Caenorhabditis elegans: one gene and its partner. The protein of the gene in region 1 purifies or fractionates together with the protein of each later gene. This does not show direct contact. Each region holds a gene or a part of one and is shown in the gene's direction. Other genes may lie near its edges.

Region 1 (6,997 bases):
TTCTCCTGTGTAAGAATTTCATGCTTCTCAAAAACACAACAAAAAACATTTCACGCGGAAAATAGTTCTCGCGTGACCTTTGCCACACACTCTTCCGACCCACGTCATCCACGTGGCAACGCCGAGACTTCTTCCGAAACTCTTTTATTAACATATTCTGCTTCGCATGTTGCTTTCGATTTTTTTGTTCGTGCTCAATAGAATAGAAATTTCTGAAAAAAATGGATCGTCTTATCCGTTCGTTGTTGATGAATCAGAACAAGCAGGCAACTGATAAACTTGATCATCCGGACACTTCTGAAACGTAAGTTTAAATTTTTTATGGATTCCAGAATTTGTTGAAATTTCAGAGTGAACATTTCCTCGTTGGCTTTGCTGAAAATGCTGCGCCATGCTCGTTCTGGAATCCCGTTGGAGGTGATGGGTCTGATGCTCGGAGACTTTGTGGACGACTACACTATCAATGTTACGGACGTTTTTGCAATGCCGCAGAGTGGAACCAGTGTGACCGTGGAATCGGTGGATCCTGTGTATCAGACAAAGCATATGGACTTGCTGAAATTGGTTGGAAGAACTGAAAATGTTGTTGGATGGTGAGTAAAGGGGACCCAAGAATATAGGCAATCTTTTAGAATCTACGACGCAGCAGATATAGTTTTCAGTTTTTATAATCAAAGCCTCTATTGAAATTATATAACAACTTTCAGGTACCATTCGCATCCAGGATTCGGATGCTGGCTATCTTCTGTGGACGTAAACACTCAACAGTCTTTCGAAGCTCTCCATCCCCGTGCTGTTGCAGTTGTCGTTGATCCGATTCAGAGTGTGAAGGGGAAAGTTATGCTGGACGCATTCCGATCTGTAAACCCACTCAACTTGCAAATTCGTCCTCTCGCTCCAACTGCTGAACCACGACAGACTACTTCCAATCTTGGACATCTCACTAAGCCATCGCTAATCTCTGTTGTTCATGGTCTTGGCACCAAGTACTATTCGTTGAATGTCGCCTATCGCATGGGGTCGAATGAGCAGAAGATGTTGATGTGTTTGAATAAGAAGAGTTGGTATGATCAATTGAATATGTCAACTTACTCGGAGCTTGAGAAGAAGCAGGAGGAGAAGTTCAAGAGCATCAACAAACTGATTGCAGTCTTCAATAAGGATATTGACGAAGTTAAGGAGAAACCAATTGCAGATAAGAAAGGAAAGACTCAAGAAGAAGTCAAAAAGTTTGGAAAAATCAATGCAAAACAGCAATTGCAAATGGTAAAAATCGAATAAACGTACAGTGAAAAAATGTTTTAATTTCAGATCACTTCTAGCCTTCTCAACGATTCCCTCTGCCATCAGCTTACTGCAATGATCAACGCAAAATCAATGACATGAACTAGCAACAATTTAAATTGTGTTTCTGAATGACGTTCTTCCCATTTCCATATCACATTCAAATCAATAAATAGAATCATTGTACAGATCTTATCTGACTGCCCTCCTCATCTGCCTACTTACTACCTATTTTCTCGATTCAGCTGAATTTCGGTGTTCCATGTTCGCCCAGTACAGATATTAATTGTATAGTTTGTTGGCAGTGCAATTACACATTTGAAGAACCTGTTTGTGTGGTAGGCAGGTAGGCATACGTAGCCTTGACGGAAGTCAGGAATTTTTGTGCCTACTGCAAAGAATGGGCACTTTCATAGATAAAGTTCTTATCAAAAACAAAACATAAAACCCGTGAAAAATATAGAACTTCCTTCCGAGGTTACCATTTACGTGTTCCAATAACCTACTAACCTTGTTCTCTTGTTTTTGCTACATTTAGACTTCACAATCAATTCAGATTTTCAACAGCTTCACAGAAAGCATCCGAGGAGATCCGTAAGTTATACCAAACCAGTTTCAGCATGATTTGGCAAAATGTGCTTCAGTGTCGGTATTCAAAGTGAGACGTGTACTAGGAAGGAAATAAATAAGAGATTCGCATGAAGCTTTGTCACGCTATATTTTCAACTTTTGTTGTATTCTTTGTGGCTAGTGGAGCCGGAGAAAAACAAGGTAAATTGAAAATTTCTGATTGATTCACAAGAAAATGTCATATTCCTGGACTCTCACATGAAACTTATGTTAATTACTATTCAGGCGAATCTCAACTTCAACAAATCTACGATGAGTTATCCATTCTGTCTCGTGTAACCAACGCAATAGCTCTACAGGCTGCAGCTCTATCCAAAACTGTCAAAATCCGTGAAGTGATCACCGAGCTTCTGAAAGTTGATAATGGTAACTTCTCAAACTTGTTGAGCCTAGATCCTGCACATCTTGTCAAAAACCTTGACGAGCTTCACAAGAAAAGCCTTCAAGCTGTGAGTGGTTCCAATGAACAGTTACAACAGGATCTCAAAGAAATGATAGCGATGAATGGACTATTGGCAGCTGTAGAGTCTGAAAATTACACTGAAAAAGCAACAGTGAATTCTCTGATTGTTCTGAAAAAGGTTGATGAGAAGATGGAAATTTGTGATGAAAGTTTGATCACAATTATGTTCAATATTTCTCAGGCAATGAGTGGAGTTCCATTTGCTGAATCTGACGAGATGAAAATTTTCTCGTCAATGAAAACTATGAAAAAGGCGTTTTATAAATGCATTTCCAAGTTTCCAGCATTTATGCAAAAACTATATGAATACAACTATCCGTTATCTGGTTTCCTGGAACTCAATGACACAATGAATACAATTAAAGCATTGAATGAATTGGACATTGCAAACAAAATTCCTAACATGCTGCAAAAGTTCAAAACTCCATTTTTGAATATTTTGGCTGTGGGGGACCACAGGAACAAAGGAAATACTGGAAAACTGTTACAATCTGCAATAACACTTTTCAAAAAAACAGTTTACTCGAATAGTTCAACACGCTTATTTCTGACTGCTGGATTCCCGGAGAGTGGAGACATGAAACGTGTGGCAAAGGATCTTACAAGTGATTGGTTCAAAAAGAAAGTCTCGCGAGGAAAAAGCACAGCGGAACTGGAGACTGCTCTAAAGCCTTTTAATCAATTTGCTGAGAGTATGGCTCATGTGTTTAAAAGTTGGAACAATTTTCGAGATGATTTTCAAACGGATTCGGCTCTTTTGGCAACTATCCCCGATTTGTTGTCCCAAATCGACGATTACGACCGAAATGTGGATAAAAAAAAGTTTTTGGAGAATTTTGAGGCGACATTTCGAACTTGTTTCAAAAATTACAAGAATGCTCTTGACCAGGGTGAAGAAACCAAATTTCTGAAAAACTTTTCCGCCGTGTATCTGTTGGTTCGGTCTGTTCAGGCAGTAGAACAATGGGCATCTGAGATATCGACTATGTTTGATGAAAAAGCAATGGATGTGTACTTTGAAGAGCTCGAAAAACTAACACCTTCAAATATTAAGGAACAAGTTGAGAAAATCACAAACTTCGACGATTTTTTGAAAATCATCAACAAATTTACAATGCTCAAGTCCCTTCAAACGCAATACGAATCTGCCTACAAAACTAGCAATTCGAGTGAACTTTCTCTTTCAAAAATAATCACTGATGCTGGACTAGTGGACACATCAAAGTGCCTTGAGAAAGATAAATTAGATTCTTCAAAACTTTTGAAAATGCTTCAATTCATGCAACACATGATGCAACTAGATATTGATTATTCAACTTTGAAGGCTAATCTCGATAACTTTTTTGAATTGAAGAAGAAAATGTTGGAGACTGAGAAATTAGTGAAAGGATTTACTTCAAGAAGTGCTCGAGCTGCATCCAATTCAGGAAGCCCGGTTCTCAAAATCAAGGACTCACAGAAGCACGCGGATCATTTGGGAAATGGCTTGCTAGCTATTAAAAAAATGATAATTTCTTTGAAGGAAAAGGCCACAATTTTAAAGTCAACGATGTTTAATGCAAAAGCCAACCAGGAAATAAGAGAGAAGAATCCTATCGACTATATCAAAGAGTTCTGGACAAATCCTGGCCCAAGCATTGAAAAACTTGTATCTGACTTGGAAAAACTGGAACAATCTTCAAAATCCTATCGTAAAGCTGATTTGCTAACTATCCGGAAAGTGTTTGAAGATGGCTCCAAGATTGTTGGAATTCCCGAAGTGTTCTCATATATTGACAGTCAGTTTGAGAAAAAAGGTAGTCAATATTCAAATGAACGGAAGATTACACAAGCGCTGAGCACGTTGGATTTGAATTTTGCATCACACAAAGGAGCGTTGAGTGCAGCGTCGTTGAGTGTGGACAACTTGAAATTGTATTTTGATGATTTGTTCGGATTGACTCCCAAAGTTTCTGTGTGAGTATTTGATTTTGAGTATTTGATTTTGTTGGGAGTTTCTGTTTTGATAAATAACAACATAAGTTTTCTAGTGCAACTTTAGCTGGACGAATATCCGGACTTACTATTTATTGTATTTTTATATTAGCATGGCTGCAATACACATTTTTAGACAATTTTTAGACAATTAATCGCTACAATATGCAATCATTTCAACTTTTTCGTAACTTAGCGAAAGATTATTCCATAAAAAAGAATTCAAGACTAATTGAGGGATCGTATCAAAAAATATATACAGTTATAGTTGCTTGTGGATTAGGAAAAAATATTTCCATAATTTTGGAATATCGATTTTTCAGGCAATCCGAATCCACCTCTCCAATCGTTGTTGTTCTTATTTGTGTTGCAATTGTCCTTGTTTTGGTTATTCTAGCCATAGTTGGCTATGGATTTACATCAAATGGAAGGAATCAATACATTAATCTCTACTTGTACTACTTTGGAAAAACTTCGGATTATGAGAAGCGATGGAGATACTCGGTAAAATTTTGAAACAATCTTTCTAAATGCATTGATTTTATATCTGTATTTATAGTTATTTATGGACCGAGTTGATGGGAAGAATGTCTTGATAGATTCTGTACGTGAAATCAATGCGACTAACTTGCTCAAAGCTGTGAAAAGGGGCGCCTATATCAATGTGTGCAACAGTATGTTATTCTTATTTTTATTTGTATACAATAATAATTTTTATTTCAGAGTATGGAAACACAGCTCTCCATGTTGCCACCAGAAGAGGCTATCAAAATCTTGTAGAGATCCTCATCAAACACGGGGCTGATCGTTCATTCTTGAATCCACAGAATAAGACGGCTGAACAGATGATTCCGGTTAACTATCAGGAAACACACAAAGAGAAGATTGAACGATTCAAAAGTATTGAGTCTATTTACAATAAGTATCGAAAGAAGAAGTTTAAGCTTTGTAGGTTTTGGTTATTTTCGTATATAGAGTTGGTAGTGAAGGTGACGCCTTGACCACATGCAACGTCTATTTCAGATGCATGTACCGCCTGTATATATATTTTCAGAATGTGTAAACATTTTCAGGTGTTCCCGAGAAGTTTCCCGTTAGTTCGTTCCATATTTACATTGAAGATAGGACTGATGATAATGTGACCAATGAGTTTACGACAAAGTTTCAATCGATTGTGAGATTTTTCTTGCAAACTTCAAAAATATAAAAACTTTCAGACCTCCGACGAAGCAATGATCACCACCACTCATGTTGTCGTGAAAACTACTGAAGACGGAATCCTCGAAACGGATGATTTGAACCTTTTAATTTGGATCTTCCACGGATCAATAATTGTTAGGGATACGTGGATGGTTGATTGCCTCAGAGACGAAAAGTTGATTGAAAAAGACTGTGACTATCTTGTCGAAAAAGTGAAATACAAGGGAATCATCTACGATACAGTAACCCAATGGTCCAATGCAATGGCAAAAGCAACTACTCCATTCTTGTACGGTGTTCATGTGGCTCTCTGTATGAAAAATTGCCCATATTGTGAGTAGAATTTAGGTTATCAATATTTAATTTAAATACATTCAGTGGCAAGTCTGACTGCAATCATCCAAGGCCAAGGAGGAACTATGCTGGATAAGTTCCCTGACAAAGATGCCTTTAACAAAGGATCCCATCCCTACCTTCACAAAAATCTTGGACCGATCTTTCTTCTTCACGATGGAACTGTTGGTTTTCCAGATTTAAAATGTTTTCAATTCGTTTCCTGTTTCAGGGCGACTTGGATCTCTACAGATCTGACCCAGACAAAATGTTCACCCTTTTCACCGAGCAACAGTTTATGGATCTGCTGTTCAAACGGGAAATCAATAAAGATACAAATCCGAAGATTATTCCAGTGCTTGTCGACGAAGAAGATTGATAATTGATTGAATGTAGAATGAATATTTAGTTGAAGGAATATTATGTAGAATGGTTTTCAGATATTTGAAATATGGTTGGCATTTTAAATTTGAAATACTCAAGTTGAATATATTAACTAGATTCGAGAAATCGGAATATTGTTCTTCATAATTAAAATGAGACTGTACTCATGTCCTACACAGTAATCACATCTTCAGGCAGCATCCGGGTTTTGTTTTTAATGGATTTCATGACAAATATCTTCTGATTCCTGAATGAAAGGCGCGAAGAGGCAGGTTAAAGGCGCCTCATCACGCCTCGACCTGGTGGAATTTTTATTTCAGATGGTTTGGGAAAATAGAAAACGTTTTCGTAATCTTTATTTCATTTCGGTTTGCTGCTTTCACTCACGAAAGCAAGAATTCTCTATCCTACAAATTGTGATCCGCTATTTTCAAAAAGTGTATCTCGACTCAAATTCAGGTTTTTCCTCATTTTTTCCTCAACGTCTGGCGGAATCGTTTCTCACGCACTGCATCCTCGGCATTAGCGCAATCCCAAAATCTTTTTTCGTGCGCACCGACCAAACAGCTCTTATCTGACATGTTCCATCGAAATAGGCGACTTTTCCGCTGCCCCGCATTCTTCTACCGTTACACACGTACAATTCAATCAATTGCCCAATTCTTGTTTTTCGCCTTTTTTGTCAGATTCAAGCTGCCACATTTTGATTCTTTACTTGATCATCGGTTT
Region 2 (4,949 bases), 2.4 Mb from region 1:
AATTATGACTCAATGGATCGATTTTCTATGGGCACAGGAGAACGCGGCGGCGTCTCGCCTCGCTCAGAACGTGGGCGCTTCCAATGCGAAGCAATTCAAATCGGTGTGGATCTCTCGTGACACGTGGAATCTCTTCTGGGACTTTATTCTTCTGAGTAAGCCAGATTTGTCGGATTACGATGATGAAGGAGCATGGCCAGTGCTTATTGATCAATTCGTTGATTATTGCCGTGAAAATCTCAATTATCCAAAGCCAGGAAATGCGTCAAATGATCAGCAAATGGAGACACCAAGTTATTATTAGGACAAACAATTCTAAAATCCTAAAGGTTCGTGTTTCCCCAATTTCTTCCTATTTTCAGAGTTATAAAATATTGCCTGGACGCGAAATTTTGCTTCAAAACTACGGTACCAGGTCTCGGCACGACAAATATTGGTTAAATGCGAAAATGCACGCGCCTTCAATGGGTACTGTAGTTTCACACTTTTCAAAACGTTAATTTTTCTATGACAACAGATAAGCTTTAAAAAATCTTGTGAAAAACTTCAAAAAATCAAAAGTTTGAAGGCGCACATATTTTAACAAAAAATGTTTCGTGCCGAGACCGGCTACCGTATTTTTTATGCGAAATTTCGCGTTTGTGTAATATTTTTATATTATACCGAGAAAACTCGACACTTTAAAGGTGTGGTAGCGAATTGGGATTTTATTTCGAAAAATATCCTAAATATTCCCAAATTCAGAAATAGCGCAAAAGAAACCCGGAATTTTTTATTTTAATTCTAATTTACAACTAATAGAATTCAAATTGTTTCAGTATCCCATGCTCAAGACTATCTTCAAAATAACAATTCACACCGCCGGAACAAATCGATAATGTCTTCAATGCGGTCGTCGTCTCCATCTCATCCATCAACTCTATTTCTCTCTCATCATTTAATCTCTTCTGATCCGTTGTTTTTTCTCGTCTCCGGAATCCCACTTATTTCTTTTTGCCCATCGTCTCTTTCTCTATTCTATCCCTCTCTCACCTAAAGGTTTTGTCTCTGTCTCCCAGTATGCTCTCTGATCCTAGTTGTCTCTCGCTACATTTCCGTTACTTTTCGACCATATTACTCTCTCCCTCTGCACATACTCTTTGACGGGTTGCTGCCTCATTTCTCTATCTCTCTCCATCTCTCTTCTTCCAAGAAGAAGATCACAATGAAAAGTAGAAAAATGATAAAGTATGGAAAAAGTTAAGAATATTTTTCATTTGAGTATTTATGTGAATCCTGTAAATTTGATTTTGAAAATTTGCTCCCCCCTCCATCATTTTCTCAACTTTTCCATTTTCTATTCTTCATTTAACCATTTTTTTTGCCTTTCTTACAAAAACTCCATATGTGTTCACTATGAAAGTATGTACGTATGCATAAATCAATTCTTTTACATATTATTGAACAACATTTCAACTTTTTCAATACGTTGAAGATCTAGTTGAAATATTTAAAGATCAGGAATTAATTTTTAAAAATCCAAATTCAGATGGATAAGAACCGAAGGAGAACGGATGATGCGGGTTTAATGACCAAAACACTTGCTGGAATTGCAGCGCTGGTAAGATTTCAAGTGTCGATTTACGCAGATCGTGTATTCCTCGAGGAGAAGTGTTTTTGGCTAAAATGTTGGAATTTGAATCGCTAATTTATTTATTGCTTATAGTGTTTTTGGTGAAATTCAATATAGTTATTGTGGTAACTAATCTTTAGAAAACATGATTTTCTTGTTTTTACACAGGAATAACTTTATTTTTCGTCAAAAATACCATTATTAAGTGATACTTAAATAGGCAATTTGAATGTCAACTAAATACAAAAAAACGAAAGAAGATAGTCAAAAACCAAGTGTTTTCGCTAAAAATCGAAAAAATCAAACTTCTCCACGAGGAGTACATGGGCTGCGTAAATCGACATAGTTTAAATATGAAAAAGTTTGAAAACCCGTATAATTTTTGATTTCTAATTAGAATTTTAAATATTTCAAATTTCCAGGTGTTCTTTCTCTCATTCATCTGCTCCTCTTATGATATCACTGTCACACATGTAATATCAACGATAGACGTTATTCTTGAAGAATCCGAATATTATCGATCCGCGAAAGAATGGACGGCGTCATCAATTGATGCCACGTGGAATGAGGTTTCGATACCTTCCAGAAAAGCAGAACACATTCAAGTATGGTTGAAATGCATTAATTATTTTAATATCAAATATTTCAGGCTATAAATCCAGAAGTAGATGTTGCCGCCGGTGGAAAACACGTCTTCACACCAGAACAATTGCACTTTTTCGATGGAACTCGAGATTCAAAGTGGATTTCTTAAAAAGTTCACTATTATTAAAATATCTTTAATTTTCAGACCAATATACTTGGCAATTCTGGGTCGTGTATACAATGTAGACGGAAAGAAAGAGTACTATGGACCCGGAAAATCATATCACCATTTTGCCGGTCGAGATGCTACACGGGCATTTACTACTGGGGATTTTCAGGAGAGTGGGCTGATTGCAACGACTCATGGACTTTCGCATGATGAATTGCTATGTGAGGGATAATTTTTTGTTTTGAAATTTGAAATACTAGAAAGAAAAAAGATTCTCGTAGTATAATAAAAAATTTTTAAATTCATAATTTATTCCGGATCAGTATGAATTGTAATTTGAAATACTCAAACTCGGCCTGAAATTCCGAAAAATCTAAAAAAATAGAAACAAGTCAATTTGAAAAAAAAACAGAAAAATTCAACTTTCAAGCCATTTCTGTAATGTCTGGAATATATAAAACAGCACGCTAATTCTTTAAAAAACTCGATTTTCGAATGCCTGTTGGCGGTATTTCGAATTTTCAAACAAAAATTATTGTTTTTAAATAATTAAACAAGTTAAAAAAAATTCTCATTTAAATAACCGAAATTCAAAATTTCACCCAGAACCAGAATTCCAATGCAACTCTTAAAAAAAAGCTTTTCAAATATTTGTATTTTAAATCAGTTAAAAACCTTTTCTGTTCTATTTTTGATATTTAATTTAGTTTGTCTAATTTCATATCAATTTTCACGTTTCAAAATAATTTCAGCAATCCGTGATTGGGTATCATTCTACGATAAAGAATACCCATTGGTTGGAGTTGTCGCTGATCTTTACTATGATTCAGAAGGTCAACCAACTCCTGAACTAACTGATGTTCTAGCACGAGTCGAAAAAGCCAATGAGTATAGAAAAGCACAGGCGGTGGAAATTGAAGTTTTCCCTCCGTGTAATAGTGAATATAATCAGAATGGAGGACGGGTGTGGTGTTCGACGAAAAGTGGAGGTGTCGAGAGACAATGGGCTGGAGTTCCAAGGTAACAGATAATTTGGGTTTGAAATTTAAATTTTTTCCAAAAAATTTTTTCTTCGATATGTTCAAAAATATGTAGATTTTCCAAAAATTTTCAGTCAAAGTTTGAAAAGTAAACTTAAATTTCCAATAATCTGTTGGGAATCTCTACAATTGTGAAAACGCGGATTTTTTTTGTAAAAATTTTGAAAAAAGAAACTTCTAAAAAGCCCAAACATAAGCCCGAGCCTGAGCATAATTTAAAATTTAATTTAGTGATAAAAACATTTAAAAAATCAGTGTAAAAAAACCATTTATCCCATATTCCAGAAAACTAATCGAACCAACTACTGAAAAATTCCGATGTGCATGCGTCAAAAATTTCGGTCCAGGAGTTTCGGGAGCCGAGGAAGTGAAATCTTCAAGTAATCGTGGAGATCTTGATCATCCCGACCTGGAACTCTTCCCAGACTGCTCACCAACATCAAATAGTTGCAAAATTGTATCTTAATTTCCAGTTTTGAATTTTTCAAAGTTTTCTAGTCCCCTTTATCCCTGTTCCACCAAAATTATGTGTGCTTTAGCTGTTGCCCCATTCTACTTTTAATTCAATGTCTTATTGTTCCACTCCAAACCTACGGTTTCCTGATTCAACTTTTTACAAATCTGCCTTTTCATCAAATTCTGTGTTTTTTTCCATTTTTTCCCCCATTTTATACAAAAATTCCTTGTTAGGTTTTCATGTATCTTTTTGAAAAATATCAAAGAGTGTATCATAATAATAAATTATAAAATCAACCCAAAATATTACGTGACCCTATTTTTACTAGCACATTAAAAATTCGGAAAGATCTATAATCAAGATTAGATCTGATTTTAACTAGAACCATCGTCATTATTTCCATCTTGCTCATATAACAATGCACGGTTTTTGGTTTCTTTTGGATTGTGTGAGTTCAAATTTAGGTTACGGTAATCCAACGAGACCTAAGTTGGGGTCTTAACTTTCCCAGTTTCCGATTGGTACAGTATGCGCCTTCAACCCGCGGGTGCTGAAGTTTGCGATTTTTGACATTGCCTGAAAAAGATGTGCGCCTTTGAAGAATACTGTAATTTTGCACACACTTTGTTTTGAATTTTTTTGGAATATTTTCTTTAAATGCAAGTATGCATACCGTACTCCTTTTAAGACGCACGCCGCTCAACCTTTCAAGCCTTTGAAAAAGTTTGGATCGCGTCGAGACCTAGTCTTGCAGTTGAAAAGTTTAAAAAGTAAAATAACAGTAAAAACAGCTCAAAAAGTCGCAAAATTCCTCCTTCCCCAAAACTAAAATGTTTCCAGATTTTTCTATTTTCCTTCGCGACTTGTCTTGTCCAGTGTAAAAAGTCCGAAAAAAAGAAGTTCCGAAGTGATAAGAAAGTGAGATTGACTACCAGCTCATTCTCCAAAAAACGTTTTTTTAACCCTAATTTTCAGGCAAAACTAGTCGGTCCAAAAACGGCAACGTCTCAAAAGTCTGTGAAAGATGTTCATTGCCCTGTTTCCCAGTAAGACTTTATAAAGGCGGCGAATTTTGAAATTGTATGA

What was found.
Region 2: the proteins of F37A4.4 (region 1) and tag-131 fractionate together in Caenorhabditis elegans (co-fractionation; one large-scale study listed by BioGRID). This does not show direct contact.

Annotation. Positions count from the first base shown.
Region 1 is NC_003281.10:6,711,723-6,718,719, forward strand, and holds F37A4.4 (Ankyrin repeat-containing protein F37A4.4), read left to right. Parts: upstream 1-1,843; 5' UTR 1,844-1,878; intron 1,879-1,928; 5' UTR 1,929-1,982; coding exon 1,983-2,055; intron 2,056-2,139; coding exon 2,140-4,333; intron 4,334-4,674; coding exon 4,675-4,855; intron 4,856-4,910; coding exon 4,911-5,025; intron 5,026-5,074; coding exon 5,075-5,299; intron 5,300-5,424; coding exon 5,425-5,525; intron 5,526-5,568; coding exon 5,569-5,884; intron 5,885-5,929; coding exon 5,930-6,069; intron 6,070-6,116; coding exon 6,117-6,263; 3' UTR 6,264-6,303; downstream 6,304-6,997. Other genes in the region: F37A4.5 (Mov34/MPN/PAD-1 family protein), read left to right, coding at 222-304, 351-593, 708-1,266, 1,312-1,386.
Region 2 is NC_003281.10:4,316,174-4,321,122, forward strand, and holds tag-131 (Neuferricin homolog), read left to right. Parts: upstream 1-1,528; coding exon 1,529-1,600; intron 1,601-2,034; coding exon 2,035-2,217; intron 2,218-2,261; coding exon 2,262-2,353; intron 2,354-2,402; coding exon 2,403-2,587; intron 2,588-3,118; coding exon 3,119-3,386; intron 3,387-3,691; coding exon 3,692-3,872; 3' UTR 3,873-4,165; downstream 4,166-4,949. Other genes in the region: dcn-1 (Defective in cullin neddylation protein 1), read left to right, coding at 1-304; H38K22.6 (uncharacterized protein), read left to right, coding at 4,282-4,311, 4,704-4,781, 4,839-4,909. UniProt on the Caenorhabditis elegans protein: Heme-binding protein.